Linked DNA regions of Caenorhabditis elegans. The protein of the gene in region 4 interacts with the protein of the main gene of each other region in a pairwise test. Each region holds a gene or a part of one and is shown on either strand. Other genes may lie near its edges. The genes, in order: lsy-2, chtb-1, T27A8.2 and gla-3.

The links.
Region 1: the proteins of gla-3 (region 4) and lsy-2 interact in a two-hybrid assay, tested with the Caenorhabditis elegans proteins (one large-scale study listed by BioGRID).
Region 2: the proteins of gla-3 (region 4) and chtb-1 interact in a two-hybrid assay, tested with the Caenorhabditis elegans proteins (one large-scale study listed by BioGRID).
Region 3: the proteins of gla-3 (region 4) and T27A8.2 interact in a two-hybrid assay, tested with the Caenorhabditis elegans proteins (one large-scale study listed by BioGRID).

Annotation. Positions count from the first base shown.
Region 1 is NC_003284.9:2,086,748-2,094,746, reverse strand, and holds lsy-2 (Zinc finger protein lsy-2), read right to left. Parts: upstream 5,044-7,999; 5' UTR 4,948-5,043; coding exon 4,921-4,947; intron 4,743-4,920; coding exon 4,602-4,742; intron 4,551-4,601; coding exon 4,445-4,550; intron 4,393-4,444; coding exon 4,236-4,392; intron 3,821-4,235; coding exon 3,737-3,820; intron 3,686-3,736; coding exon 3,590-3,685; intron 3,531-3,589; coding exon 3,354-3,530; intron 2,485-3,353; coding exon 2,376-2,484; intron 2,275-2,375; coding exon 2,179-2,274; intron 2,123-2,178; coding exon 2,018-2,122; 3' UTR 1,494-2,017; downstream 1-1,493. Other genes in the region: col-164 (Nematode cuticle collagen N-terminal domain-containing protein), read right to left, coding at 1-211, 262-977, 1,030-1,258. UniProt on the Caenorhabditis elegans protein: Involved in transcriptional regulation. Required to specify left-right asymmetry of the ASE gustatory neurons, probably acting upstream of microRNA lsy-6.
Region 2 is NC_003281.10:9,347,981-9,357,631, forward strand, and holds chtb-1 (Chitin binding domain (ChtBD2) containing chtb-1), read right to left. Parts: upstream 7,366-9,651; coding exon 7,332-7,365; intron 6,988-7,331; coding exon 6,870-6,987; intron 6,823-6,869; coding exon 6,683-6,822; intron 6,420-6,682; exon of another isoform or gene 6,240-6,419; intron 5,792-6,239; coding exon 5,689-5,791; intron 5,645-5,688; coding exon 5,547-5,644; intron 5,495-5,546; coding exon 5,396-5,494; intron 5,346-5,395; coding exon 4,908-5,345; intron 4,742-4,907; coding exon 4,095-4,741; intron 4,049-4,094; coding exon 3,829-4,048; intron 3,783-3,828; coding exon 3,645-3,782; intron 3,387-3,644; coding exon 3,261-3,386; intron 3,202-3,260; coding exon 2,968-3,201; intron 2,921-2,967; coding exon 2,672-2,920; intron 2,610-2,671; coding exon 2,550-2,609; intron 2,502-2,549; coding exon 2,373-2,501; intron 2,319-2,372; coding exon 2,202-2,318; intron 2,156-2,201; coding exon 1,472-2,155; intron 1,394-1,471; coding exon 1,190-1,393; intron 1,091-1,189; coding exon 944-1,090; and 9 more.
Region 3 is NC_003284.9:16,056,502-16,061,928, forward strand, and holds T27A8.2 (Fork-head domain-containing protein), read right to left. Parts: upstream 2,445-5,427; 5' UTR 2,434-2,444; coding exon 2,174-2,433; intron 1,547-2,173; coding exon 1,426-1,546; intron 1,375-1,425; coding exon 1,330-1,374; 3' UTR 1,175-1,329; downstream 1-1,174.
Region 4 is NC_003279.8:8,212,332-8,219,575, forward strand, and holds gla-3 (C3H1-type domain-containing protein), read left to right. Parts: upstream 1-2,366; coding exon 2,367-2,417; intron 2,418-2,462; coding exon 2,463-2,624; intron 2,625-2,698; coding exon of another isoform or gene 2,699-2,704; coding exon 2,705-2,797; intron 2,798-2,843; coding exon 2,844-3,179; intron 3,180-3,236; coding exon 3,237-3,357; intron 3,358-3,703; coding exon 3,704-4,056; intron 4,057-4,131; coding exon 4,132-4,207; intron 4,208-4,267; coding exon 4,268-4,726; intron 4,727-4,798; coding exon 4,799-5,047; intron 5,048-5,102; coding exon 5,103-5,242; downstream 5,243-7,244. Other genes in the region: T02E1.6 (uncharacterized protein), read left to right, coding at 1-37; Protein dhs-3, read right to left, coding at 95-191, 245-516, 730-825, 871-944, 1,735-1,852, 5,684-5,956.

The DNA.
Region 1 (7,999 bases), on a different chromosome or scaffold from region 4:
GACGGGCGGTAAATCTGGCACGGTTCTTTGTTGGATATGTGGTATCTCCCTTTGGAGCTCCTCCAGCTGGAGCACCTTCTCCTTCAGTTGCGGAATCAGCTGGCCCTTCGCCAGAAGCATCGCTAACTGGGGCGCCCGCTCCTTCAGCAGAGACATCGGAAATCGGCGATGGAGCTGGAATATCGGCAGAGAGCTTAGCTGGATCGGATTCCTGAAAGTACTTTTATTTTATTGAAATCCAAGAATTGCAGTAAAACTCACAACTGGGGATCCTTCAAATTCAGTTCCTGGGGCTGCAGCGTATCCGCCACCTCCTCCTCCAGCGATGTCTCCTTTTCTTGATGGGCATGGGCAATAGGCAGCATCTTCTCCAGAAGCTCCGGCGGATCCTGGAAGACCTGGGAATCCATCTGGTCCCTTCTCTCCTTGTGGTCCTTGTGGTCCAGTCTCTCCCTGTGCTCCAGCTGAACCATCCTCTCCACGCTCTCCTGGAAGACCCTCGTCTCCTGCAAGACCATCCATTCCAGTCGGTCCTTTTGGTCCTGGTGCTCCTTTAGCAAATCCTTTTCCGTCAGCTCCACTGGTTCCTTTCTCTCCTGCTGGTCCCATTGGTCCTGGATGCCCATGGTCTCCTTCTGGTCCATCATCTCCTGGTGCACCATCGCGGCCTGCGTTTCCTGGAGCTCCTTTATCTCCCTTCTCACCACGTGGTCCACGTTTTCCTTTGTATCCAGCAACACCTGGTGGTCCTGCTGGGCAAGCAGTGCAAAGATCTCCAGCTTGGCTTGCAGTCTGCTCATTGCTTCCATCAGCTCCATCTTTTCCTGGAGTTCCATCGGTTCCGTCGGTTCCTGGCTCTCCGGCTGATCCTGATTCACCCTTTGGTCCTGCTGGGCAAGAGTCGTCAATTTTCACAGGGCTGGCTTCGGGTGCTGTAGCGGCAGGAGATCCCTCACCAGCAGCTCCTCCTTCCTTGTCTAAATTTTCATTTGTCAAATATTTTCAGATAACGTTAACATCTGCACTTACATGTTTGTCTTGCAACTCTGCGGTGGCTTTCATTCGTAACAAGCTCCTTCCAGAGCACATTCGAAGTCTCTTCAAAACCAGTTTTTGCAGTTTCCAGTTGAGCAGTCATGTCTCCCATAGTATAGAAAAGGACAGGAGTAGCAGTTACCATAATCAAGAAAGCACTTCCAGAAAGAATGACTGCAAATGAGACAGTCGACGAAGACGACTCCATAGTTTTGTAACTCATTGCTCGAAACAAACAATGGAGAAAAACTTGGTTGATGAATGTTGTACCCCACTACCGTCTTATATACAACATGTGTTATCTAAAACTCTGATCGGTATGTTCCGGAAGTTGTCCTACTCCTTCCCAATCTTCACTTCAAACCACTTTCATTTGTATTATCTGATCCTTGCTACCGCTTCAACAAGTTTTTGCATTTGCATATTCTGGATACCAGGCTATTCATTCCATTTTGTTTCAAACGTATCAAAATTTTATTATTCACTCCATAAATTGAATTATGACACTTCATATTAATCGAACACCTATACAATCGGCTCAAAAGAGAAGAATATATAAAAATAGACGAAATCAGGCAACGGGAAAAAAAGGTAAAACAAACAAAGACTACTACAACGACTATACAAACTCCTCAATAGGTTATACATTAGGTTATAATAATAAAAAACAACGGATTACAAATGGAAATAAGGAGCAAGATATCGCTGGTGTAGATCAATGCCAACAATGATAAACGGCATGCTTACAATTTTGGAAAAAAAAATGATTGAAAGAGCAAGTCTGTCTGTCAATGGGTAGGAAATCTTCAAAAAATACTAATCCCCGAGGTAAGAAAAGAACCAAAAAAACAAGAAGAAAAAAGTACCCCGTTTTGAAAAAGGTGAATAAGAGAAGTTGAAAGAAATGTCATCGAAGGCGTCAAAAATGGGTAAGTGCGCAAGCTGAATTACTCTATCTAAGCAACAATAATAATAATCAATTTCAAATCAACTGTGGTTCCATCATCTGCTGGCCAAAGTTTGCGCCAAACAGCATTTGAAACTCGTCATTCGTTGGTACCAAAATTTCCGGATCTGCTGGCTGAGGCTGAAAAAAAAGTGAGCTTTAGTTATTTGTTCAAATATTAACTTTTGTAAACGTACAACAATTTCTCCAGTTTCAATCAAACTGCTAACTCGCGTGTGGTAGCTCATGTGCTGATTGTAGCTGGCCTCGTCAGCAAATGGTCTATAGCATTTCTGAAAAAATATATATTGTATCGTAAATCCAACAATAATAACAAATTTTCAATCATCCCACAGACAGAAAACCACTCAAATTACAACGTTATAGAACTCACTTCGCAGAAAAATTCAAGACCCTCCCGATGATTTTCGTGTTCGAGTGTGTGATGGCTGACACAATCCATTCTGGTCATGAATTGAGACTTGCACACTGGACAATCATGGCTGAAATTAGGTAGGTTTAATGAAAATTTTAATTTAAACTGTGTAATGTGTTCTCTTCTATTATAATAGTTCTATTAGTTCTATTAGTAATGCACTGCTCGATTTTGGGAGCTTACAACTCAGTTGGTTCAAAAAAATTCAATAAGTATACAAACCCAGGCATATATTAGGAAATGAATCGCACCATGGGTGTGCGGCAAATTCGGCAAATTTGCCATGGTTGTCATACTCAGTAAATCGCAATATTTTTCGAGCTCAAAGAGGGCCAAAATTGATTTAAAAAATAAACTACGTTTACTGGTTTTTGTTCGAATTTTGCCTAATGCGCGTGTGGATTTCTTCAATAAAAAATAAAAGAAACACGATGTTATGTTTACTTTCATTAGGTTTCTGTTCAAAACCATTAGTTTTGTACAAAATTTTTATAAAAATTGTTTCATGTGTGCGGCAAATTTCAGTATTTGCCGGGCTCGGCAGATTCGGCAAGTCTACATTTTTGAAATTTACGGAATTCGATGAATTCGGCAAATTCGGCAAATTTGCCGCACACCGAGCGCTTTTCAGATATTATACTTATACTCACTTTCAGTCCTACATTCACTTTTTGATGCTTTCTATGCTTTCAACAATCTTCCAGCCATTTTAAAACAAATTATAAAGTACGCTCTCTTTTAAGATAATAATTCAATCAAAATTTGACGAAATTTCGTAGCGAAACTGTTGCAAAAAATTTGAATTGATGTCAAATCTTTCTCAAACGCACGGAGAGCAGGTATGTATATAATATGTACCGTAATTCTGAGAATTCATGTGCTCAAACGGCATTTTCCACTCCGATTTCTTTTCAGTTCAAGGATAAATAAACTCACGTCTCGAATGCAATGGACTTTGCAATCTCGAAAAGGTTGCCCCAACGCTCAAGAGACATGTTGTTGAAGATAGTGTCTTCGAGACGTCTGATCTTGTCCTCAAGCTCAACTTGTGGCAGAAGATCTCCTCTTCTCAACTTGTCCACCCAGTGCTCTGGTTCTCCGAGTCCAAGCTTCCTGAAAAAAAACATTCGGTAATCTCACATTTTAATTGTGCATGCTGGATGTCTGCTTACTTCTTCTTCGGACGAGGCGGCGGCGTGTAGTACGGTCCTCCGGCTCCACGAAGTACGATGGCGTCGTCAGGGATGTCAGCAGGCGGCCGACGGTTGCTGAACCGAGATTTTGCCAATACTGGCGTTCCGTTTTTGTTAAGATCAAACCTGGCAAACGGCCTCCAGGCAGCTTCCAGCTCTTCCTTCGTCGTGACGTGTGTGCGAAGATGCTTCTTGAGGTTGCCTTTCAGTCTGAAAAAATTTAAAAAATTTGTTTGTTATTTCTCGTATCGCCTAAATAATTTTTGTTGATTATATTTTTGTGTTTTCTACCCGCAACATTTAGATTACTGTCACGAGTGCCGTTTTGAAATGAGTACGGCATGCATCTTATCTACGCCTTTTTCACCATTCTAACACTATTTCTCTTCGTTTTATCGATTGTTCTACAGTGTCGCCTATGGCATTACGGTGTCTCTCGTCCGTCTCTTTTTCTCTACCGTTTCTCGGCCCGTACACTGTACACACCGTACTGCGCATTAGCAGAGGAGAGTCGACTGTGAGAGAATGAGAATTAAGGGGAAACGGTCGTTTTCGCAACCCGCCACATTTTTATTACTGTACATTTGAAAGAGCACAGCGAATGTTGTTTAAAAAAACCACTAACCGACAAGTTTTTCCACAATATGGACAGGCGTGAGGAGTGAAGCCGGTATGGACTGAACGATGCTCAAACAAGTTCGACTTAAACCTAAATGATTTTGAACAAATATCACATCGGAAAGGCTTCTGATCTGTGTGTATCACTGCATGCTGCTGGAGACCTGAAAACAAAATCAGAGTTAGACAAAGCTACCGTATTTTTCAAAAAATTACCTTTATAGGAAACAAATATTTTGTTGCAAACATTACACTGGTGCACAGCTCGAGGGGTCATCATTCCTTCCACCATCTCATCTTCTTCAGGAAACCCCATTTGATACTGAAATTGATTATGATGCCCCTGAAATGGTTTCAGAATTTTTTTGAGTACCTGAGAATAATCCTGCTCATCCATCATCATTTCGGAGTCATCCATGTGTTGATTGTGGTGATAAACTGACTGATTCGACCCGTGAGTCATACTGGAACTGTTGAATTCAGAGAGGGACTGATCCGCAGAATTCCGTTGACTCTGAAAGTAGAGAACGTCTAAAAAAGTAGGGAATTTATAAAAGATTCGATAAATTGAAATTTGAAAGGAGTTTATAAAAGGAAAGGTTAAAGTACAGAAGCGAAATAAAAATGAAAACATGGGTTTCAAGAGATTTCAAAAAATTTTAGAAATTTTTTTTGAAATGATATCTAGTTACCTGCTTAGCATTTCTTCTGGTTAGCATGACAAAATTTGCCTCAGACAGCTTAAAAACAGCTCGAGACTGCTAGATATTGCGAAAGAAGCGTCGAATTCAAACTATTCACCTTGCCGCCAAGTGCAGAAAGGGTTATGGTATGAGAACGATACGGTAAGAAATGCGACCACTCGGAGGGGACGCGACGCGGCCGCAGCGCAACGAGAAAACGAGACGCAGGCGCGCAACAAACAACAAGGATAGTGAGCGAGAGGACAGAGGTCACCACCGTCGCTTGCTGTTCGTGGTTTTTACATCGTTTCTGATAACTCAGCAAGTGTAGAATTTAGAAAATAATGAGTTTTTTGTGTATTGCGAGTGTTTAGAAAATTAGATATAAAAAATTAAACTGTATTTTTATATTATTTCGTAATAATCGTCATTTTTTACAATTTTTTTTTCAAAATTATAAAGTGCAAATTAAAACATTTTCATTGCAATTTTTCGGAATTTTTAAAATTGTCTTTTTTTTCTAAATAAAATACAATTTTATGAAAAAAATTATTTTAGTTTTAGTCATGGTTTGGTCGAAAACACAAAACAGGTGCAAAAATAAGCAGATGCGTTTTCATAATCTCAGGTGGCCGAGAATTGAGAAATTGGTTGCTAATTTTTGGGCTATGGCAAGTCTTAAAAATAATTTGCATCAGAAATGTTTTATTGAAAGTAAAATTAAGATTTAATTATAAATAGAAGTTAGTGCTTGGAATAGTAAAAGTCAATCAAATTATACATGATCAATAATATTTTTCCTAACATAAAAGACATGTATAATATTGTCACAGCTGCTTTTGGAACTGAACAAAACCCAGCAAAAGACTTCAACGATTTTGGCAAATTGAAAAAAGTTAAATGAAAAAATAAAACCTTGAAATTTGAAATTGGAAATTTGAATGAAAATCGATCAGGACTCAGAAAATCGCATCTATTCGCTATGAACACTATTCGATATTCGTGCAACGCCGTAAGCCCCAGACGAAGAGCAGATGTGCATCTTGCCTGCTGCTCGCACGCATCCACGCTGGCTCACCGTGTAACTCCAAGTATATTGGGAGTTGTTGTTGTTGTTGTTGTTGTGGAGGCAGACGTGGTTGTTGTGGTGTCCATTTGGAATCGGAGCAGCAAACGGCGTGTGTTGTTCATGGAAATTGGACTGGTGCTGCGGATGGTGTAAATTCATCATTCTGAATTATAAAATTAAATGTTTTCGGGTTAATGAAATTGAAAAATAAATAAAATAAGTGTATATTAATTTCGAAAAAAAAGTGTGAAAACGGTTAATAGTAGTTTAATACAAAATTAAAAAGTTAGAGATCTCTTGAATTTTAAAGCTTTAGATTAAATTTAATAAGATTTATATATTTATTGATAATTTATTGACTACAAAGCAAGTTTGTTAACAAACACAACAAAACAAATAAAGATTGACATTTTGTGAAACCTATCAGCATTTATACTATTTATAAAAATACCAATAAGTAGTGTTATATAAATTAATTTACCAAAAATAACAAATTTTTTCCAAATGTTTTTTTAAACCTGAGGAGAAATTTGTGTCTTGTTCAGTTTATGTTCATAAGTTTCACAATTCTAATTGAAAAATCTTGAGAAGGGGAGTTTTGGTGAACTAAAATAAAACAAAACGTTTTTTTTTCAAAAATAATATATTAAGCCAGAAACTCGAAAAATTAGTCTTTACAATTAGTATCAAAATTTTAAGGATACCTAAAGTTTATAGTAAGATTCCTTCAAAGTGAAGTGTTCTAACAAGAGTGTGAAAACTTGTTCGACGTCTCAGAAAAGAAGTACAATCGCCAAGTTGTTCTGGGAAATTAGATTAAGAGAAACGAGCACAAGTTGAGAAACTCCCTCTACTCAGATACTCGGCGAAGAAAAAAAAACGTGAAAGATACTTTTACCATGAAGGGTGCCATCTTGACGAACATCTGCTGAACAGCCAGCTAGTTTCCGTTCTGAGCCCTCTAACATTTGTAGGGCAATACTTTTATTTGAAAAAAAGCAGCTCACACTTGCTTCATTCGACAGATTTTTGAAGTTTTGAGAACTTAACCGCTTCGTTATATTGGATCGAGACAAATGGGGAAAACGAAAAGGATTAAGACATCCTGGCTCTAGCTTCCTAAAAGTGCATGTTATTTTCAGTTACCTGGTGCGTGTGGAACGATGAGACTAAATCTCTCAACCTAGGGAAGTCGGTTCGATAAACATAGTTAGGGATGAGTAACGGTTTGGACGCCTTTTAACGTATAAATTGAATATGTGCTTAAATGATCGAATTTTGTAATTAAATTTTTTTTTAATCTACAAAATTTTATATGACGGTTCAAAATTTCGAAAAAAATTATCCAACTTTTTTTTTACTTTTCCGTGCCGCAGTGATTCAAAGTAGATTTGTTTTAATTATTGTCATTTTTTTTGCAAATTTTGGTAATTTACCTTATGTTGTTTTGTTGATTAAGGTATTTTTGGAAATTTTGAACCGCCATAAAAAACTTTTGAAACAATTTTGAGTCGTTTCATTAAAAAATTCGTTTATTTAAGCACATTTTGGGTCTATATGTTCAAAATCGTCCAAACCGGTACTTCTCCATTAAATTTTTATAGCCTTTAATATCAATTTTTTAAAGCAATGTTCAGAAAAAAACTGTTACTAATCTATGCACACTTTTTTACAATTTTCATATTAAAATATTTCAAATATATTATTCAGATTTCCAAGGCTTACATAATTTTTTTTATTCATTTTAGTTTGCTTTGAAAGCCAGAATACATTTCATTGTTTGAAATATTATTTCCAAGGTATAAATTTCCTCAGAAAAATTATAGTTTCTAAATTTTCACAGTTCTGCAGTTTTTCATAATACATATTTATTTTTTTAGCAAAGAATTATAAATACAAGTACTTAAATTACGCAAAAAAATTATTTTGGAAAATATAAGCAATAAAGAAGAAAACAAGTCTTTTACAAGTTACATTATGAAAACTATACATGTCGTAATATAAAGTCATGCGATTTTT
Region 2 (9,651 bases), on a different chromosome or scaffold from region 4:
AAGGTTGCGGCAATAATTATTTGGTGAAAGAGTGGTGGACAGGTTGAAACGGGAGATAGGAAAGACTTAGAATCAATTTGAAAAAAAAGAGAAATTGAGCGTTTGATAATAAATATTTGGAAAAAAGGAAAGTAAAACAATTATGAGCTAGAAAAGTAATACAAAGCGCAGAGACGTTGTAATGCACGCTTCAGCTCTTCAGGCTTCACACGCTTACGCTGCTGCTTGACTTGTCGTCGTTGGCGGCGTCGATCACTGGGTCGTCGTTCATTTGGAAAGCTAAAAGAATTGAATTAAGGCAAGAACATTTTAAATATTTCAAGCGTGCTCAGAGACTCTAGATGGGATTCTGGAAGTCTATAAGTCTAAGCTTCTAGGCAAATAGGAAAATGGTGAAGCTATGGATCGGCTTGTTAAGGACTAGAAGTCTATATAGAGCATGCAAAAGGGGACAGATTTGCCAGTTGACGAGCTGGATAGAATTCAACATGCGATTCCTTACACTTTCGTCTAACGCATGCGATTCCTTGCGTGTAGGCGATCGGAGAGCACTGGCAAACTCCAGCGTGGCACATTGAAAGCCCCTCGGCTTGTCCGACGCACTCGCCGTCAAGCTGACAACGGGCGCCGATGGGTCGCGGCGCTATAAGAGAAGATGATGTGTCTTCGTGATTTTTTAAATTTCACGAAACTTACACATCGACAATGATCCGAATCGATTGTTGTTGTTGATGTTGAAACCATTGTTGTTACCCGGGAATGATGGGAATGTCTGTGGTTGACCTGGTGGACAGCAGAGATTTAATGAAGAAACACATTCATATCCAGTTCCACATGATCCATTTGGGAAGCATCCGGAGACGGCGGTGTCACCGGATGGACATTTGCCTGTAAAGGGGAAGATGAGAAAGATTCAGTGGGGAAGATGCATGCAAACTAGTACTTTGAAGAAGTCCGGCTGGCTTGTTCGATGATGGAGAGCAACATTTGCCATTCTGACACTCGAGTCCAATTCCACAAAGACCGTTCATGCACGGACCGGATGAGAGTGAACCATCAGAGCACGAAGAGGATGGTCCGCCGAAGCGAGCTGAAGAAGAAGAGGTGGAAAAGGGAGGATACCAGGGAGATTTTTTTCAAAGTAAGAAATTCACGCCACACGTTGATCAGAAAAACAAGGCATACTTACGAGGCATATAACTGTGAAGTGGACGTCCATAGTTTGGCTTTTGAGCCATTTGTCGAGAGTTACCAATACGAAGACGGCTGAAAGTAGTGGTAGAACAACAGATTCCGGCGTTCGTGAAGCAAGTGTATCCAGTTGGGCAGGTTCCGGCGTCTGTTGCTGTGTCGCAGTCTCCGATTTGATTAGCAGTGAGGCAAAGTCCGGTGGCTAAAGTTTTCATAATTAATGAAGGTGAAATCATATAATGTTCAAAACTGTTCATATAATTTTGATTGAATAACTTACTACACTGAAGATCGATACAAGTTCCTGGATTGACGCCGTTGGTGATGAGTGGACTGTTTGGAATGTAGACAACGACGTATCCTGGTGGGCAGAGTCCATCAATAGCTGGTCCGACTTGGCATGACTCATCAGTATATCTGACAACTGGGCAGCAGTTAACTTGGTTGGAATCGCAAGCGTATCCGGCTGGGCATCCTCCGTTGAATCCAGTTCCTGTGCATGGGCCAATGGAAATCTCATCGGTACAGGTGACACTTGCTGGGCAGCAGACTCCGTTGGTAAGGGAGTATCCGTCGATACAAACTCCGTTGACAGAGGGAAGACCAGTTGATCCATCAGTACAGGTGGCAGAGCAGCAAAGGTTTCCTTGAACGGTGTATCCAGTTGGGCAAAGTCCATTGATGGTTGGGCCGAGAACTTCTCCTCCATTTGGACAACTGTTGATGGGGCAGCAAATGTTTCCGGTGGTGCAAGTGTATCCAGATCCGCAATAGTATGAGACTTGAACTCCTCCGCATCCATCTCCGGTGCATGATGGAATGCAAGCTCCGACGGCGTCAGATCCGTCAAGACATTTGACAGTGGTTGATGTTCCGGCGCAGCAAAGTCCATTGGAGCAAGTGTATCCAGTTCCGCATTGTCCGTTCACACATCCTCCAGCAGCTTGGGTTCCATCAGGGCAGACTGGAAAGTTCGAAGATTAGAATGTAAAGTCTACATTAAAAATTACCGAATGGGTTAGTGGTGGTGGTCTGTGGGCAGCAAACGTTGTTGCTACAGGTGTATCCACTAGCGCATCTTCCAGACATGCAGGCTCCAACAGCGTTTCCTCCAGATGGGCAGGTGTCTAGAATAAGATTCATTTGAATAAATACCTATATCGATAAACTATAAAACTTACAGACAGAGATTCTTGGAGCAGAGTTGTATGATGGGCAGCATTGGTTTTGGATGCAACTGTATCCAGTGGCACAATATCCAGAGCTGCATCCTCCGACAGAGTATCCACCTCCTGGGCATGAGTTTTGTGCTGAAATATCAGAAATAAGTTCAGCGTTCAAATTTTCAGAGTACTCACGGATAGTGATGATTTGTGGGGCATTCTGGCATCCGACGCAGTTGCTGGATCCTCCGCCCACTGAAAAGTTAAATATAAATATCTGACTGTACATACAATTTGTTAGAAAAATGTTTTATTACTGCATCCACATGAGTAAGACGAAAATCGTGCAGGATCTGAATCTGGGAAGTTTGCTGAAGCTTCCATCTCATTTTCATCTTGTTTTTGCTTTCTTCTCTTCGTTTTTCTCTTTTTTGGGTTCTTAGGATCAGTGAGTGGTAGTAAAAGCGGACAGCAGAGGTTAATAGCGGTATCACAGTGCAATCCAGCTGGACATTCTGAACCAACAGAGCAGATCAAGGAAGACTGGAAACCTCCGGCACAAGAAACTGTAAAAGACATCTGGAAGGTGCAAGTGATGTTAGAAGGTGCTCACCACCATCTCCTTGAGCTCTTATCAGAACTTCATCCAAGTTGGATAAATGTTCAGGGAACCCATAGCCAGGAGGTCCGATTGGAAAATCATTTTGAAGAAGTGGATCAGAGAGGGGATCCACGTCTTTCTTTTTGGGTTTTCTGTGCTTTTTACTAGAGTTAGACTTTTTCGTATTATTTTTGGTTTTTGTGGTTTCTGGTTGTGACGGGTTAGTTGTGCTGTTGGTGTCAGAATCTGAATTATGGAAGTGTGCTGGTTGTGGGAAGTGATCAAAAATGATTGAAAATACTTACCAATAATAGCTGAGCCAGAGTTGGATCCACTGGAGCAACAGTATCCGTTGTTGCAAGTTCCGACGGAGCATGGGTTGGAGTTGGAGCAGCTAGAGAATGTGCACACGAGTCCGCTGGCTTGTTGACCTGTACATAAATATTACAAATGTAAATTGAGATTATTGGAGTATGGATTTTCATAATGAAGAATGTTAGAAGTAAGTATTCATGCGAAGGTTTAATGTGGTTAGTTATGTTATTTAATTGAATATGTCGGTGTACACGTGTTTGTCAAAGAGATTGGGATTGAAGCATTGTATCTGGATCTGAAATACATAAAGTTTGAATTAAGTTCATTTTCTTTGAACCTCACCTTTTAGGTATTAGCTAATTGACAGCATCTACCCCGTTGATTACAGAAATAGGGAGATGGACACTGCAAACTGTATCGGCAGGAAGTTCCGAATCTTGGATCAACTTCAACAGATCCTATGGGGCATTCTGAGGAAACCTCAGCTGTTACACTTCCTTCGACGACAAGTCCTGGAAATCATTAGTTCAATTAAGTTTGGGATGCCATGTTTCTTACCAGGACTATAACAGCATGCAAAATGTTCCTTATTGAGTAAAGTACATTTGTGAGATGATGATGGGCAGTGATCATGATTACTAGCAGACTGACATGAAGTTTCAGGAACCGTCCCGTCTGGGCAATGAATGTTCAGTTTGCAGCATTTGCCCGACAGTGAGCAAGTGAAATCGGGAGGGCACAGAGTATGTAAATCACATCTTTGCGTGGATAAACATTTCTAAAAAATAACATTGAATATTTTACCACCTCGAGTAGAAACTTACATTTTTGTTAATCGATACACCACTGGTTTTGTCAACTTTCTTCCAAACTTTTGTTGCTGTTGAGATTATTTCTTCTTTTATAATTACAGGCGTGGTTTCTCCGACACTATCGGAAGTGGAATCCGCAGATTCTGAGAGGAACGGACAACATTTCCCATATTCACATCTAGAAGCAATTGGACAATCATCTGATAGAGAACAATGAACTGGAATCGAAAGAGCCATCAATCCATTTCCACATCGTGCCTTTGGTGGTTGCTTACAGCATATTCCATCTACACATTCTGACATCTCTGGGCATATAATATCGATATCACATTTTTTAACTCTGGTATCCACTTCACAGTCTCCAATTATCAGTTTTTCTGTCTCTTTGGTGTGCTCGTTGTCTTTGCTCATTGTCAAAACTTGTGATTTTATCACAGCTAATTCGATAGTTTTTGGGCAGCATCCTCCAAAAAAGCAATGTTCATTTGCTCTACAGTGATATTGAGTTTTACATGTGAATTTGACGGCTGTTAGACTTCTCGGACATACAGCCAATTTACAACAACCTTGATAACATTTGAAGGTTGTTGGACAATCTTCATCAGAAGTACAATTCGCATTTGTTCCTCCACATGTTGCAGATGATGATGATGCTCCGCCTATAAAAGTACAGTTGATGAAATGAGGTGGTTAGCTAATGCGCGTGCTTCTCATTAGGCTCCTATTTACTTTGTAAACAGTGGTGGAAACGGAGAGCGCTCTTTCCGAAATACTTTAAAGTGACCACAAACAGATGAGAAAAGGAAGGAAGAAAAGTGAACGCACCTAATGAATTGACCTCGTCCGTGTTACTACTCAAACATCGAAGTTTTGGAGGTTCAGTGGTTCTTGTCGGAGTTGGTGTGATTCCTGGAGCCATAATTTCATCTAGTCGCTGCGGTTTTTGAGTTGGGAGTGATTCGATTGCAGCACTATCAAAAATATCATTATCCACTTCAAATATTGTATTTGTTGCCTCTACAGTTGCATATCGATATACTTTTGGATGTCGTAGTAGTTTTCTTTCTTCACAGCAGTTATTCTGGCATGTCATTCCTTTTGGACACGATTCATCGATTGTGCAGACCGTCGAACATCCAATTGATGATTGCAATGCAGTTGAAGGGCAACACACTTTTTGTGCGGTACAAAAATGTCCCTTGGGACAAGAGTACGGATCCCGAGTACATGTATTATTAGGAGGAGAACCATCAGAACACAAATCTAATGGAAAGTTAGAGATCATAGGCGGGAAAAGTGTGATTAGAACCTACTTGAAGTTGTTAAAGGGATACAGTTACCATTGCGGCAAGCTGATCCCAGTGGGCATTTCGAGCAGGGATTTTCAGTGTTAGATGGGGAAGATGTTGATGCTGTTTAAGCAATTAGTGAAATAATATGTGGTTAATCATAAAAACAACTTACGGGAGAGAGAGCTCATTCTCTTTGGAACGATACAAGTTTGTTGCTCAAAGTTGAACAAGAAGTTCTCTTGGCACGACTTGCGGACCCATCGGAGAGTGCTGGAATTGAACATTTTGTTTTTTATTATGCAACGGTTTCCTACGTTTGGTCACATTGAAGGTAGGAAGATGGGAAGTCGTTATGAGCCTGAAGACAGGTGGCTGAAACGGCACAGACCTCGCTCTCGCGGGCTCCATTGTCTTGTTCTGAAAATATTTTATTGATCGATTTAGAATAATAAGATGAAATTTCAGTTTTAAACCAAATCCCCGATCTCATTAAGTTATCCCTTCTGTCTTTTCTCGCTGGGGTTCTTAAAAACAAAACACTTTTCCTCGGTAGGTCGCGGCGGCGACTGGTGAGCTCTGCGAGCTGCGTATCCCTTCCTCCAACACTCTCTTATCAACCTTCTGACCTATTTGTTGAACCCCCTCTTGGTCACGCGCCGGCGACTCTCAACGCACTGTGCGCAAGTGAGTGGTGGACAAAAGCCGGCGGAGCAAGCAGGAATTGCAAGACACCGCAAGTTGCGTTTTTTTCTTCATTCCCATCAAGAGGATTTAGGTCATTTGCGTTCATTAGAGTGGTCAAATAATGGAATTGTGAAACAAAGGATCCCAGACAAAAGTGGCGCATTTTCCTCGAATTTCCTCGAAAAGATGATGAAATTTGGTCACAAGAAATGTAGTGAATCTAGTTTTGGAATTCGTTGGCAAAATATCTACACACTATTTGTGATGTTTGTGTGTTTGTATGTGTGTGTTTTATTTTTTGGAATGAATTGAATTGAGTGAGAGGAAAAGGAAAAGAATTAAATGTAAACACACAAATACACAAGAAACACTGTCAGAAGCATAAGCAAATATGGCTTGGAGATGTCGGACTTCCACTTTTTTCTACTTTTCTTTCTTCTACAATTTCCTAGATACCTTATCGCTCGTAACAGTTCATTTCAACTTATTGTTGACCACTGTGGTTGATGTTTATTTGCGGTCAGAAGTGGGCTCGCTCATTAGTTGACTTAAGAGCTTCCACCGATTTAAAATAGAGGAATAAATGTTGGTGATGAAGAAGAATAAGAAGTCTAAGAAACTCACCACAAATGTTCGGGGAAGCTGGTTTACGAGCTTTTGGATGTTGTTGTGGCTGTGTATTTTCAGCTGGAACAGATGGTACTGATGAAGGAGCGGCGGCGGCTCTCGACTTCACAACCCAGACACCTTCACCTTCGGCACTACTAAAAGAATGAAAGATTTTCAGTTGTTTTGGTTGAATGAAACTCACTCAGCTGTCGTCTCGCACTTGAGGAAAAACTGTGTCTGTTTTCCTCCAATTTGAACATCAGCAGTTCCAAGTTTACACGTTCCGCCAATTACAGGCGTCTGTCCATGTCCAGAAGCGACTGTAAATTAAAATTGGTTTGAGAAATGATAAGAAAAATGAATGGGAAATTATTATTATTTAAATTCTCAAAATACAGTGATATTTCAGGCCTAGATTTTCAGACAAATTCTTGCAATCTAGTAGTTGAATAGTAAACTATAAGATGGAATAAGTTTGATAAGTTTTATGTATAAACCCATTTAAATTCAAGATCAAATTTAGACTATTCAGAAACTTTTTTGCCTCTGAAAATATATGGAAAAATATAGATTTTCAAGAGAGAGTATTTAATTTTAGAGCTAACATTTTTCAAAAATAAACAGAATCTAGAATGTATTATATAAAATTTGAAAGAAAGCTTACCGAGGAGGGTGATTAAAATGAGATTGCGCAGCATTATGTGTATACTGCTTTGTGATTATATGATAAATGGAAGAAGGTGGTCGATTCAGATGGAAAACAAAGCTGCTATCTTCTTCTTCTTCTTTTGGTGGACTCGACAACAATTGCCACGCTGGAAAATTTGAACACTGATAAAGTGATAAAAGGCTGTGATGGGGTGGGAGATAAGGGGAGGAGACAACGGAGCAACAAGAAGACGGAATTTGAAAATAATGGTATTGTGGGTGGGGGTTAAGATGTGAAATGTGTCTTCTCTCCGATGGTGAGGTAGAGAACGAATGAAGCAGGTAGGGTGAGAGCTAGAGGATAGGAAGCTTCCGAGGGGTTGGGGAGGTTTGTATGCGAAACGCGCCGCCCTCTCCGTCTTCTTCGTTTCTATCTTTCGTCTCTTCTCCTCTCCGCGTATACTGTACCGGTGCGGAGATTCGCACACGACGCTTGAGAAGGTGGCGAAGACGGAGAGAGGTCAGTACTCTTTCTCTGTCTCTTTCTACATCAAGTCGGCCGAAAATAGAAGCTCGGCGCTTATGAGCACGAGAATAGAAGGCGCGCGCGAGGTCGCGGTCTCTCTTGCGAAAAAGTACTATTGTTTCCTTTTTTAGGGTTATTTGGGGGAGCAACACTAAGGCGTCTCAGATGAGGTAAAACCGCCGCCAGGAAACACTGGATCAAGTTTTTTGGGGGTTGAGCAACTTCTTGGCAAGAAAAGAGTCGACGAGTTCAACTTGACCAGCGCGGACGAATTCCGGGCACGGATGAAAGAGGACAAATAATCGGAAGTGATGATGAGGGTGGCGTAATTTTATAGTTGATTTCACAAGAATTTTATGATTATGATGGAAGTGATTGACCTACAGTAGTCTTACAGTACAGTACAGTAGTCTACAGTAGTCTTGACATCTGTTCTTGAAAACATATAGTTTTGAAGACTTAAAACATCCACCATCCATGTATCGAATAATATGTAGCTAATGTTTCAAAATGATATGATGTTTTCCGGAACTACTGCATATTTCCATAACATTGAAGGACGCGCGATGCACACATTTCCAACAAAAATCGAGCACCAAGCGCCCACCGCGACTCGTATACTGTTGCAAAGTGCACATTCGGTTTCGATTCGACCGAGTCATTGTAATTTAACTGTTCTGCCACTTGTAGTCATTGCCACTTTTAAGTGAAATTGAGACCCTCCAAATCCAAATTCCCGGACATAAAAAACAACGCGCATTTTTGTAAGATCTCGTGTAATTCAAAACTCCATTATTCTAAGTGCGCAATGCACGCAATTAGTGAGACACCTCTAGTCAAATACGATGCGATGTTGGTCAGGCAATTTGAACTGGACAGGGCAGCTAATATATTATGGACTGTGAAAATTTATTCTCAGTTTTTTTTAATTTCAAGCCTTTTAATTTGAATCTATTACTGCTTCACAACGATTTTTGTTTTTGGATTATCCGTTGGCAGCGCATTCCGATTTTGAAATTTCCGTGCTATTGATGAAGCCAAAAATTTAAGCCGCTTTTGATAAGTAACTGTAAAAATTCAATTGAGTTAATGCAAATTCGGTAACTTATGTTTTAGCGTTTTTCGCTCAACTGATAATAAGATAATGTTGTTTTTAAAACTTCCAGCGTACATTAAAAAGAAATGGAAAATAATTTCCATGCATATCATTGCTAATTTCTTTACCGGTCTCTTTTTGCAAAAGTACAAGACCATTTAATTTCTCGATGGCATCCAGTTCGTTCCTTGCGTAACTGGCCATATTCATATGTAATTGAATGAAATCTCACTTTTCATTCAAAACCATCTTCCGAATCCGGAGAGACTTGTCTTCTTTTTTGTTCTTTTTTCGCACCTAGAAAAGACACGGAAGCAAAAAAAAACATCATGGCGTAGACAAGCTGTCAAGCGCATCTTTTTGCAACACTATATCACGAAAGAGATTGCTCGTGCCACTGTTTGTTGTCCTCGCGGAGTCTCTACGACAAAACTTGTCATTTTTTATCAGATTTTGGTGCTGCTGGTGGTGGGAGAGAAATAGTGTTGAGGAATTTGGGTTTGTGTTCGTAGGAAAAAGATCACAAGGGCGGCGGCGGGTTGTGTCTCCTTCATCTCACGACAAGACGGGACCCCGAATTTGACAAAAAAAACCGCGGCGGATACCAGGCTCGGCCAGGCGGTCGAGTGATAAGTATGTTCATGTTATGTTTACAAAGTGGTATTTCCCTAAAACATGTTACTTTGAAATCAAAAGATAATATCTACATAATAT
Region 3 (5,427 bases), on a different chromosome or scaffold from region 4:
ACCATATTGATTATCCACAGAATGTGCAACTCCCTGCGGCAAATTTGAAAAAAAAAAACGAGTCATGGCACTTTATATTTAAAAGTCAGATGCCCCTTCCCATATCTGTGACCGCCTAAAAGCGAATTTAGCAGCAGGGAGGATGGCTACCTGCGCGAGTGGCCACAAAAATTGTTTTTAAAAGATTTTTGATCTAAATTAAAGTTTGAAGGTGGACTAGCTAGTGGTTTCAAACTTAAATCCGACTCGGACTTGAACTTATCTCAAATAACTTTTGAAATAGATATCTGAAACAATGCAATTCAGTTTTGATGACAGCTCAGTATCGAAAAAAAAACAGAGTTTTGCTAAAACCTCAAGTCATATTAATTTGTCTGTGTTGCAGCTGTTGGAAATTATTTTGCAAATTGTCCGCCGTGCTACGGCACTTTTATAAATGGTGCCAGTCTCACTTTTTTATTCGATGACTTTATTTTTTGCGCCCCATCTTTTCTCAACCAAAAGGGGTGTACCAAAAGTACCTGTTGTCAATTGGATTTATTGATATATTATGATACTTCGTTATAGATCATCTTCTTGTGGGACACCCTGATATGGGACCATTTACCATTTTCACAGTTAATAATGTTTAACGTGGTTTACAAATAGAATTTGACGATTTATTTTTTTTTTTGGCAAAAGTCCCAATTTCTGCTAGATTGAAAATTGAACAATTTGAAGCTGCCCATTGAAATCAGTGCAAAATTCTGATATTAGAAATATATACTTTACCCACATTTAGTGTTCATTTTTCAGCACAAATTGCGCCATTCTACGCCACCGCGCCACGTTTTCATGGCGCCAACTCAACGCAATCAGTGACTCATCCTGAGCTGGCAACATGGTCAAGTGTGGTAAAGCACTCGACCGTGGAGTCAACAGTCGAGGGTTCAATCCCCTCACCGAACCAAGGTGGTTCTGAGTTGCTCACATGCTCAGATAAGTGGAAGTTCGGAAGATTGATGATCAAAAAGGTGGTGTTGAATCTTATTGTTTCATTCAACATTGACAAAAGATCGAAAAATGTTTTTTTCATTTTCATAGAATTGTCTTCAACTAGGCTTATACTCTTTTCACTCTCTTTTTCTGCTTTAGTTTCCCACAGCGTTTGTCAGAAATAACAAAGTTTGTATGATTTTTTTCCAATTTTTCCGGAAGAAATTTATGTTGGTAGGAATGTTTTGAACTGGAAACTTTTTTATATACAGAATTGGTTCAATAAAATCTAAAAAGTGAATAAGTTGAATTAATGTATAAATGAAATATTTTTATGAAAAACTTGTCAAGAGATCACCCGGTTGAGGACATCGAATACATCCGTCCAGCAAGATCCGTCTGCAAAACAATTTTTAATATAATATGACTGAAATTTCCATGGCAACATACCATTTCCACCTGATGCTCCACATATTGCTTCAACTCGTCTATATCCTTTCGAAACTCCTCCTCAACATCCAGAATATCCTTGTTGCCGTCTTCATAAGCCCATAGTCCAGATCTCACGTCTCTGCAAATTGAAAGTATAAAAAAACATATACGAATAGTTTTTGGAGTTATTTCTTAAGTTTTTTTTGGAGTTATTCTTAAGTAAGTGCTAGTGATTAAATTTAGCAAAATTTATAAACCAAAAAAATACAGTTTTTATGAGTATTCACATATTTTTGTTTTTCCAAAAAACTGATAAAAAGAAATTTTGGTGAAATTTTTGGAGAAATTGTGGGGTTCTTATCAGGGCTGTGCGGCAACCGGCAATTGCCGAAGTTGCCAAACCCAAAAAATTTTGGCAACCGGCAAATTTTGGTTGCCGAAATTTCGGCAAATTTTTGGCAACCGGCAACTTGGTTGCCGGTTGCCGCACAGTTCTGGTTCTTATGTCTAAATTATATGAACAGCAATTGTATGATTTGGCTATATAACTTGTTATCTGATATTTTTTAGCAGAACTTTATTTTTATTTTTTGTTGTAATTACATTCTGGATTTACTTGAATTTGTTGAAAATTATATGAAAACCAATTTTTAAACGCTACACGCAAATCTGACAACAAAATTCAGTTTCCGATAATATTTGAAAAAGAATTTGAAATGTTTCAAATTTTTGTTAAAAATATTTCTACAAACTTCACAAAACTCACCTTTCTCGACGAAAGCACAGTTCGGTGTCCAGAACCCAGGCCACATGATTAACAAACTCCCATTTGTACATATCGTGAAACACTTTGTAATACGGGAACAAGTCGGTGATCCACTTGACAACTACTTCAATCTCCGGAAACACGTCATCCGCTTCTTCCATCGCAGCACTGACCAGGGCGACCATTTTGAACTTGGGCATCGCCATTTCCGGATGATGAAGCCCCATAATTTGGTTCATTTCGTGAGTGAAATACGTCATGGTAGCTGAAAATGAAAATTTACTTAGTTAGTTGAAGGTTCTCAAATTTATTTGCCACGTACATAATAAAGGAAATACAGAAATGTCTTGTTTTTTTGGATCTTATATTGCGGCAACTTGCCGAGTGGGAAAAAATTTAAATCGTGCAGACGTCAGATTCAGTTAGGCGAAAATTACATGAAAAATAACAAAAAAAAAACCACAAAAAAGTATAGCTGTGGATATGAGAGAATGGCACATTCAAATGTCAGCAAACGGCCATAAACCATCGATCGATAATAGTGTGCGGAAGACGAGGGCAGACCTGTCGCGCGACTCACGCATTGCAGGCAACACCAACTTGTCGTAGGTCAAATCTTGACACGACAACGAACTCGTAATGACCAAATCAAAAGGAAACAAAAAAATTGAAAAAAAATTGAATTTCGAAATTATGAAAAGTTTGAGTCGGCTATATCTGAGCATAGTTGAAGGTTTTATAAAATTGATGATTGTAAAGATGAAAAAAAACTTTAATTGAAGATGGACAACGGCCTGTGGGAAAAGATTAAAACTCGTTCACATTAAAATTTAAAAATGTCCAAATATCATAATAAAAATATTCAAAAAAAAAGTTACCTTCAGTTTTAAATTTGACTCACGTTTCCAGTAATCCTATTTTAATATTGTTGGGATTCAAACAAGCAACAGTGTTTTGGTTTCTCCAAAATTGGCGCACGATCAGACCCGAAATAAAAAAAAATTCCACAAATTTTTAAAAGATCCATTATAATATTTAGTCATTTCCTAACTGTTAGAAGGATTGTTAAAGCTAAACAATTCATAAAAATTTCCATAAAAGTTATTCATAGAAAAACATGGAAAAACAGAAAATTTTCACAAAAATATTAAAATGAAATTTTTTCCAGAAATAAGCAGAACAACAACGGCATATCTTGCAGCAAAAAGAAATGCCGCACTACTAACAAGGAAAGAAAGCAAATCTAGTTCCGGACTATGAATCTTTGAATTTCCTGCCAAAATGTTTTTTTTTCTCAGGAAATTTGAGTTTCTCGCCTAAATTTTTTCTTAGAAAATTTGAATGTCCCGCCAATAACTATGGGACTCCCCCCGGTAATCCAAATATAGGCGCAAAAAACAAAAATGAAAATTTTCAAAGTTTAGAAGAATTCCTATGGTATTCGACAGAAGTTTTTTCACAAAAATTTTGGAATTTTGGTAGGGTTTCCATAGATTTGGATTCTAAATTTTTTAAAAGATTATGGATAAGTTTCTGGACCTACAAGTTATATTCTAGCCGCGCTAGAGGGGTTTTTGTCTTCAATTCATTTTTTTACATACATATGATTGCACTTTTTTGCAAAAAAAAAATTTTGGAATTTTAGGAGAATTTCTATGAAAATGGATTGCTAATTTTTTTTAGTATTACGTTTCTGGGTCAAGAAATTCGTTTTTGGTCGCGCTATAGGGGTTTTTGTCTTGAATTCCAATTTCAACAGGTTTCCTCAATATCAACAATTTCAACAGGCACAAAAAAACAAAAATAAAAATTTTGGAATTTTGGGAGAATTTCTATGAAAATGGATTGCTAATTTTTTTAAAAGTATTATGGGTACGTTTCTGGGTCAAGAAATTCGTTTTTGTTCGCGCTACAGGGGTTTTTGTCTTGTATTCCAATTTCAACAGGTATTTACAGGCACAAAAAACAAAAATAAAAATTTCGGAATTTTGGGAGAATTTCTATGAAAATGGATTGCTAATTTTTTTTTTAGTATTATGGGTTCGTTTCTGGGTCAAGAAATTCGTTTTTGGTCGCGCTACAGGGGTTTTTGTCTTCAATTCATTTTTTTACATACATATGACTGCACTTTTTTGCAAAAAAAAAATTTTGAAATTTTTGGAGAGTTTCTATGAGAATGGTTTGCTAATTTTTTTTTAGTATTATGGGTACGTTTCTGGGTCAAGAAATTCGTTTTTGGTCGCGCTACAGGGGTTTTTGGCTTGAATTCCAATTTCAACAGGTATATACAGGCACAAAAAAAACAAAAATAAAAATTTCGGAATTTTGGGAGAATTTTTTTAAAAATGGTTGCTAATTTTTTTTTAGTATTATGGGTACGTTTCTGGGTCAAGAAATTCGTTTTTGGTCGCGCTACAGGAGTTTTTGTCTTCAGTTCAAAACATTCCTACCAACATAAATTTCTTCCGGAAAAATTGGAAAAAAATCATACAAACTTTGTTATTTCTGACAAACGCTGTGGGAAACTAAAGCAGAAAAAGAGAGTGAAAAGAGTATAAGCCTAGTTGAAGACAATTCTATGAAAATGAAAAAAACATTTTTCGATCTTTTGTCAATGTTGAATGAAACAATAAGATTCAACACCACCTTTTTGATCATCAATCTTCCGAACTTCCACTTATCTGAGCATGTGAGCAACTCAGAACCACCTTGGTTCGGTGAGGGGATTGAACCCTCACAGGTGATTCGCGGCTCATGCGTGGCGCGTCTCACACGCTTCGCTCACGCGTCTGAGAGGACCAAGCGAAGACGCGCGTCACGCATGCGTCAGGCGCGCGTAGCGAAAGCAAGCATGCTTCACGCGTGCATTGCGAAAGGAAGCATGCTTCACGCGTGCGTTGCGAACGGGCATGAGTACGGTAGAAATGGGTCCAAATGTAGCGGCCGGAAAGACATGAAGCATTTTTGGCTCATGAAAGCCCCAGAACAAATAATTTTGGTTGATTGTAGCAGAATTCGTAACAAAAATAACTTCATCTGAACAACAAACAAAAAAAGCAGTAATAAAAGAAATTAATAAGAAAAGTAACAAACCAATAATTAGTTGCAATATTAATTAATCAACAAAAACAGCTCATGATGAAGCTGGGGCTCCAGACGTTCCCTCGCCGCCAGCCTTCTCCGTCAAATCCCCCATGTTTTCCAAATCAGCCGAGCCTTCTGGACTTTCGACGAAAATGAGCTCATCCCTGAAA
Region 4 (7,244 bases):
TGGACACGTGTTTTTCTCACTACGCCCTCAAGGATGATCTCTAGTTCATTATCAAATAAATATTTTAAAAATGAAAAAAATAACACAACAAAATTTAAGCCTGGCGTGACTGGCGTCCCTTGAAATGATCCATAGAATGAGTGATTCCAAAATGATCCCCGTATAAGTTGAGAACTTCAGTTGGAAGAAGTCTGAAAAATCATAAGTACGTTTAACATAAATCTGAAATTCAATAGGAACTTACCCTGCAAGTGCAATAAAAATGTAGCTAAACTTTGGAATTGCAAGGAATGCTCTGTCGGTGAGAACTGCCTCCATTATGCAATCGACAACATATTCTGGTGAAAGAATTGGAAGAAGTGTTGGCCATTTTGTGGCAATTCCATCGAACATTCCAGTATTTATATAAATTGGGCAGACTACAGTAGTCTTCACATCCTTTTTTAATGCGTACAACTCAGACGCAAGAGAGTCATTAAAACCAACAGCTCCGTGTTTGGATGCACAGTAATCTACCTGAAAGCTTTTTAATTTTAAATGTCTTTATTTGCAGAATATTTGGCCTCCCAACGAAACGTATGAAACACCATGTAATCTAAAAAAACAATGTAGGCACAGGGATGCCTACGTACCTATCTACACACAAGTTTTTTTCGACCTTTTGTGTAGACTAACTTAAACCCTTTAACTTTTCGTGGCGCGGTCAACATTTTGTTTTAAATCACTTACCAATCCAGCAACACCACACTTTCCAGCCATTGAAGCAATTGTTACAATATGCCCTTTATTCGACTCGAGCATGCCGGGAAGGAAATTTTTGGTAGTCTGGAAAATTTCGGTATTCTCTTTTCAACAAAAGTCATATCTTACAAAGAACAAAGCATTTGTGTTAACTGAAACAGTCTTGACCATCAGCTCATCTGGACATTGCAGCAACTTTTTTCCTTGAAATGTTTTTATGAAAAGATATTATGGGAATACTAATTTCTGAGAATGCGTATTGCGCAACATATCAGACGCGCAAAATATCTCGTAGCGAAAACTACAGTAATTCTTCAAATTACTACTGTAATTTTTGTGTGAAGTAACAATGGGTTCACTGAACCTTTTCGAAAGTCTTATCATTTTATTTATTTTATTGATTTTTGTTTTCTCTCTTTATCTGGCATATTTCGCTTAAAATGAAAAATATGTAATACGCTAAACTTCGTATGTTTCTAAATCTCTACAGTATGCAATTAGCAAGGGATGTGCTTTTTTGCCAGTGGGTCCCGCCGCGCCATTCAAATTCATTTAATTAATACCATGTGTATTGCGACTCTTCATTGTGTCTTCGAGACCCGAAGAACTCGGGGGATGTCCAATTGGGGGGATTACCAACTCGGGGATTGGCCCCGCCCACAGAACCGTGGCTTGCAATACGCCCATTTCTGCAACTGCCGCACGGTTTCGAAACTGTATTTTTCTCAATAGAGCGAGATTTAACAAGAAAAATACAGTTTCAAAACCGTGCGGCAGTTGCAGAAATGGGCGTATTGCAAGCCACGGTTCTGTGGGCGGGGCCAATCCCCGAGTTGGTAATCCCCCCAATTGGACATCCCCCGAGTTCTTCGGGTCTCGTGTCTTCTACAGGAAAAAATTAACTCTATAAGGAACAAAATTATTATTTACTGTGTTTTTGTATTGTACATGAATTTTTCAGAAGTTTGGATGTTTTCAGCCGACTGTACTTACCCGTCACAATTCCAGCGTTGTTCACGAGAATATCTACTTTCCCTACTTCACTTTTAACCAAATCGGCGGTTCTATTGATTTCTTTGTATTCCGATAGGTCCACTGTGTATGCTTTAGCCTGAAAGATATAGAAATGAAACAGTATACAAATCGCAGAGACGCAGAGAAACGCACAACGACACTCCGAAATGACGATCGCGCGTTGTTTAGCGTGTCATTTGAATTTGTACTTTTTCTCATTTGCTTACCTAAATTTATTCAACTTCTCTTTGTTTCCCATTTTTGAGTAAAATATTTTTAAAAAAGCCATTTTCAGATTCTAAATCGTATTTTTCTGTAAATAGATGAGTAGCTCTGCGTCAAAAACTCAGGAAATAAGGTATATTCTTCGTATGAATAACTAATTGCTAAAAACAAAATTTTCAGCGTCGTCATAGATCCCCGTGATGCGCTTACAAACAGCACCAACGGCAATAAACCAAACGGCCCAAAACCGAAAGTAAGATCAGAAAAGCGGTAGTTCGTGAGAAACTAGAGCAGAAGGGGGTAGAGGAAAAAACTAAAGCTAAAAAAATAACTAGAAATTAGTGTTTAATAAAACATTTTATTTTCTCCATCCTACTCACCCAACCATGCTTTATCAACCATCTTTGTTAAAAAGTCGACTTACTCCTGCTCCGCCGGTAATTTTCGGAAAAAGTGTATTTTTGGTTTATAATAAAATTCAGGGGTTTTCTTTTCAACCTCAGCCTCTATTGAACTCAGATATGGATCCAGTCAGAAATTTAGAAAGTCTAGGGAACTACACGGTGTATCAAGATTCTTCTCAATGTTTTTGGCAACATCAAAATTTTACCTCCAATCGAGAGCATAACCCCGCATTAAGGAAGGTTCTATTTTTGGAAAAACGTTTTAATTTCTTAACACTTCAATATTTTAATTAAGATCTACTCATTCCTTGTAGTTTCAGACAAAGATTTGCGATCACTGGCGACGCTCGGGCAGCTGTTCGTATGGCGACGCGTGCTGGTATGCTCACGGTGAAGACGATCTTCGTAAAGTGGTCAGTTAAGCAGCGTAGGAAACATCAAAGAAATCTGGTTTTTCAGGTCCGGATTGATCGTTCGAACGAAGAAGAGAATGAGCGACCGGCTACTGCTGAAATTCAAAAGTCGCCGACAAAGCGTGCATCAACCAACGTCAAAGGATTAACAGTGAATATTCCATCGAATACTGCCTTCAAAGAACAAAACTCTTCGATGCCGTTATCTCCAGCTCAGGAAAGATGGATTTCCATGTCAATTGGAGCTGTACCACCACCAACCAGCTCAGCTGCAGAGAAGGATGCGATTTCATCATTATCTAAAAACGGTGTCGAGCAAGAACAGGAAAAGAAGCATGAAATATGTTCTCGTGACGATGATATTGACGATTACGGATTTTTGGTTAGTTTTGTAACTTCAAGAATAACTTTCGGTTGAAACTGAACAACTTGTTTTCAGTCTCCGAATCCGTTCCCATACCCGCAACAGTCAATGTTCTCAGCTGGATTTCCATCTCATGGACACCATCAACGTTCCTCGAATCGTGCTACGCAAGGGGTTCCTTCTCAACAATTTGGAGGTATAGAGATTTCACGAGGTTTTCTCGAATTTAATGAAATGAGTCTCAGCCCGCTGAAATTTTTATGGTAGTCTTTTTGAATTGTTGCGGCTGATTTCTCGTTTTCTTGAATTTTTCAAAACAATGACTTAGTTTTTATCAATCTTTATCGTTTTCTATTCATTTTTTTTGCTAAAATTAGTTTAAATCAGTTTTTGGAGTATAAATTAAAAAAGACTATCATAAACTTTTTATACGTCGAGACCCTGAATGAATCCGTGCGCCTTCAAGAAAACATGTCAAATTCTAGTGAAATTACGACAAGTTTTTCTTCAGAGATTTTTTAAATCAAAATTCATTGTTACAGGGCCAGTCAACATCCCTGGTCAAGATCCGAATCGTTTGGGATCTGGAGCATACCATATCCCACCACAGCACCAAAGATCAAGATCCAATGTTCGTACTTCACGAGAGGTCGGCGGTCCCCCTCCGCAATTTCAACAAGCGATTTGGAATGTTGCTGGTGAAATCTATCAACGTCAGAAGGACATAGAGATAGGCGGACAGAGAGTTGGACCCAATGATCGTCAACCGACTCAACAGAAAAATTCGGAAATGGATCGACTTTTGTCTAAACTGAAAATGAAAGATTTGAACTACCTTCGTTTTATGATAGAGCGAGGATATATCAACGAGCGTGACGTGTCTAGGCAAACTTCGGTGAGTGGTGTCTCAGGTTTTTCTTTTTTCACAATTTCTTTTAGATTTAAAAAAATTCAAACAATTTTTGTTCAGAGTGATCAAATGAGTAATGGTCATCACTTCAATGCTCCTATGACCCCACCATACCATCCACGACTTGCAGGAAACGGTAAGATTGAAATCAACCAAATAAATAGGAAAATTGATCGAACTATTGCATACATTTTAGAACCAAATACTTCGGACTGTCATTACCATGGAACTGGAAATCGTTTATCAAATTTCATGCCAGGACGTCATCGTCCCCCACATCAACATCCAATCCATCATCATCATCAGTCACAACATCAGCTACACCAGCATCAGCAATATCTGCATCATGCTGCTCAGCAATACCGTTATTCGCATCAACAGGGACCTCAACATCCGTTTGCGGCTCTTCTCTCACCACCGGAGATCTCGGAGTCCTTGCTCCCACCTGATGACTCGTTTTCGATTTGGCTCGAGCCGAAGCCGAAAAAACAGTCCGGAGCCATGACACGAACTCGCGGAGCTGCGACGATCAACGAATCGAGTTCTGCGGCAAGTCTGCTCACAAAAATGGATGCTCTTCGATCAGACAAGTATCCAATTACAGACGAGGAAATGATGATGGCTAATGATTTTGTGAGACAAGGCGATCGAGATGGTATGTTTATTGGTTAATTTACTCGAAAAATTTCTATAAAAATTTATAGTTCTGAATATCCATCAATTTCAGATAAACTAAGCTCCAGCGAAAGCTCAAGTCCTGTCGTGATGTCTTTGATGGAACTATTGAGCAACGAGAATCTGCTCGATCAAGTAGCAACCGAAAAACCAAAGTGTTCTATGTTCGATTTTGATACTCTAAAAATCGCCGAAACTCTCAAGGAGCCACTGCAATCTTCCGAATGTTCAACTACAACATCAAGCAAGATGACCTGCTCTCCAATGTTCTTTTTCGTAGATGAAAAGACACCAAACTACGGTAAAATTTTTTTTAGTATTTGAGTAGAACCTCCAATATATCGGCTATTTTTTAGACGGCTCAGGATCGAAAAGCCTTTTCACTCCGTCATCATCGGCCGGCCAGACGCCTTCATTCCTGGAACCTTGCGATTTTTTTGCAGCCACCGGATCGTGCCCCTTCGGTGACGCCTGTCATCAGAGTCACTCGATTTAGGAGGACCAGCGATGATTTTAAAGCCCATTATTGTAATCATTTTCTCATTTCTCACCCAATTCAGTTTCTAAATTTTATACTTTATCATTTTGTCCTTTTTCATCGTAATTTTTGTTCTACTCGCAGCTCTTCTTTAGTTTTTTGTATGTATTTAGGGTTTCTTGTAGAGGATATGGATACTTCCAGCTTTTTCCCACCCACATAATCTTGTTTTCCTCAAGTGATACGGATACCATCCACAAAAGTACGATATTCATAATTTAAATTTTGTATTTTTCTTCACTTTTTGTTCCATTTACACTTGTTTTCATTATTTCTAACGAGCCCGCGCCGCTCTTGACACTAGCTTTGTAATAGTAATAGTTAGCTGTAGTTGTAGTAAGTTTTAGCGAACATTCATCTAATAAATCTATAAATGTGAAAAATGTTGCAAGTCCAAACCTCAACTCCCATCGCTTCCAATTCTTTGAGTGTTTCTTTGTTTCCTTGCTCGTTTATATCCCATAACACTAATCTTGCACCGAGTTTTCCGAACTCGAAGGCCATCAATCGGCCTAATCCACTTCCGGAGCCAGTGATCAGCACAGTTTGTCCTGAAACTTTTAATATTATTTCCTTGTGTACGTGATCCGATACCTCGAACGTCTTTTCGTAGTAGCCATCCCATTGGGAAGCAATTTCTAATTGTGGAGATAATAAGAAGACATATGGCATGTAGAGTCACCACAACACTTTCTAGAATATCCTGCATCTACAAAATCGGAAAATTGAGGGAATTTTTAAACCAAAAATTAAAACGTATTGGTTTTCTTGAAAAGTTTCTGGAAAAAAGCTAGAATACAAAAAAAAAGAATCAAGATTGAGAAATCATATAATGAAGAGTTTTTGTTGACTGTACACGCTTTTTCTCTTATCATTCAACATTTTATCAGTGAATAGACCATGTTCTGTAAACATTTTGATAAGAGATGGAGAAATAGTGTTGGAAATGAAGAGAATTAGATAGAAGGTAGAGTGGAGCCGAGAATACAGAATTTTGAAGTTTTTGATTCATAGTTTTGGTCGAAGAAATGCACTGAAAAAAAGTAAATTATTACCCATACGCGCAATGTTGCGATTTTTGAGCCAAAAATACGGTAACCGGTCTCGAGACGCCTTTTCAAATGTAAAATACAAATGTTTGTGCTCCTTTAGAGGGAACTGTAGTTTCAAACTTTCGTGTTTTTGCAGAATTGTCATTGATTTTTCATAATTTTTCGATTAAAAAAATTTATTTATTTAAAAAGTAACAAAACAAAAAAAGCAGGACTGAAAATCCATTGGCAACGAAATTTTCAAATTACAGTACTCTTTAAAGGCGCACACCTTTTCGCATTTAACAGGAATGGGTCGTGTCGAGACCCGGTACCGTACATTTGGAGAATAAATCACAAAATTGATTGAATCGGTAATAACTTTTTTAAACAAAAAAATGAAGTTCGATTTAAAAAATAAATTTAAAAACTTGAAGATCTTGGTAAAAAATCGAAAGAATCGAAAACAATTCTTTGTTTTTTTGTTGCAGAATCTCATGTTCTCCTCCCTTTTTCATTTCGAAAAAAAACGAGTTTTCTTACACTTCTTAAAAATTCAATCATAAATTCTATTTGTGTGATTCTTCATTTCAACATTCCGAACACACAGATTTAAATTACTCCAAATGCAAGTAATTGTGGTTTTTTGGTGAGAAAGTACGGTATCGGGTCTCGAGGCGACCGTAACATTGATGCTACCGTACTCTGATATTTTGAGAAAATTCCTTAATGCGATTTTTCTTGTTTTTTTTTTGCAGAAAGGTGCGCGCCTTAAACGAGTACTGTAAATTCAACTTTTCGTTGCTGCGGAATTTTTATCGTTTTTTAAAAATTTCTCGATAAAATACACTTACTTATTCAAAAACTTACATTTCAAAATTAAAAAAATAACTTTTTAAAAATCGATGAAAACTTCGAAGCAACAAAAG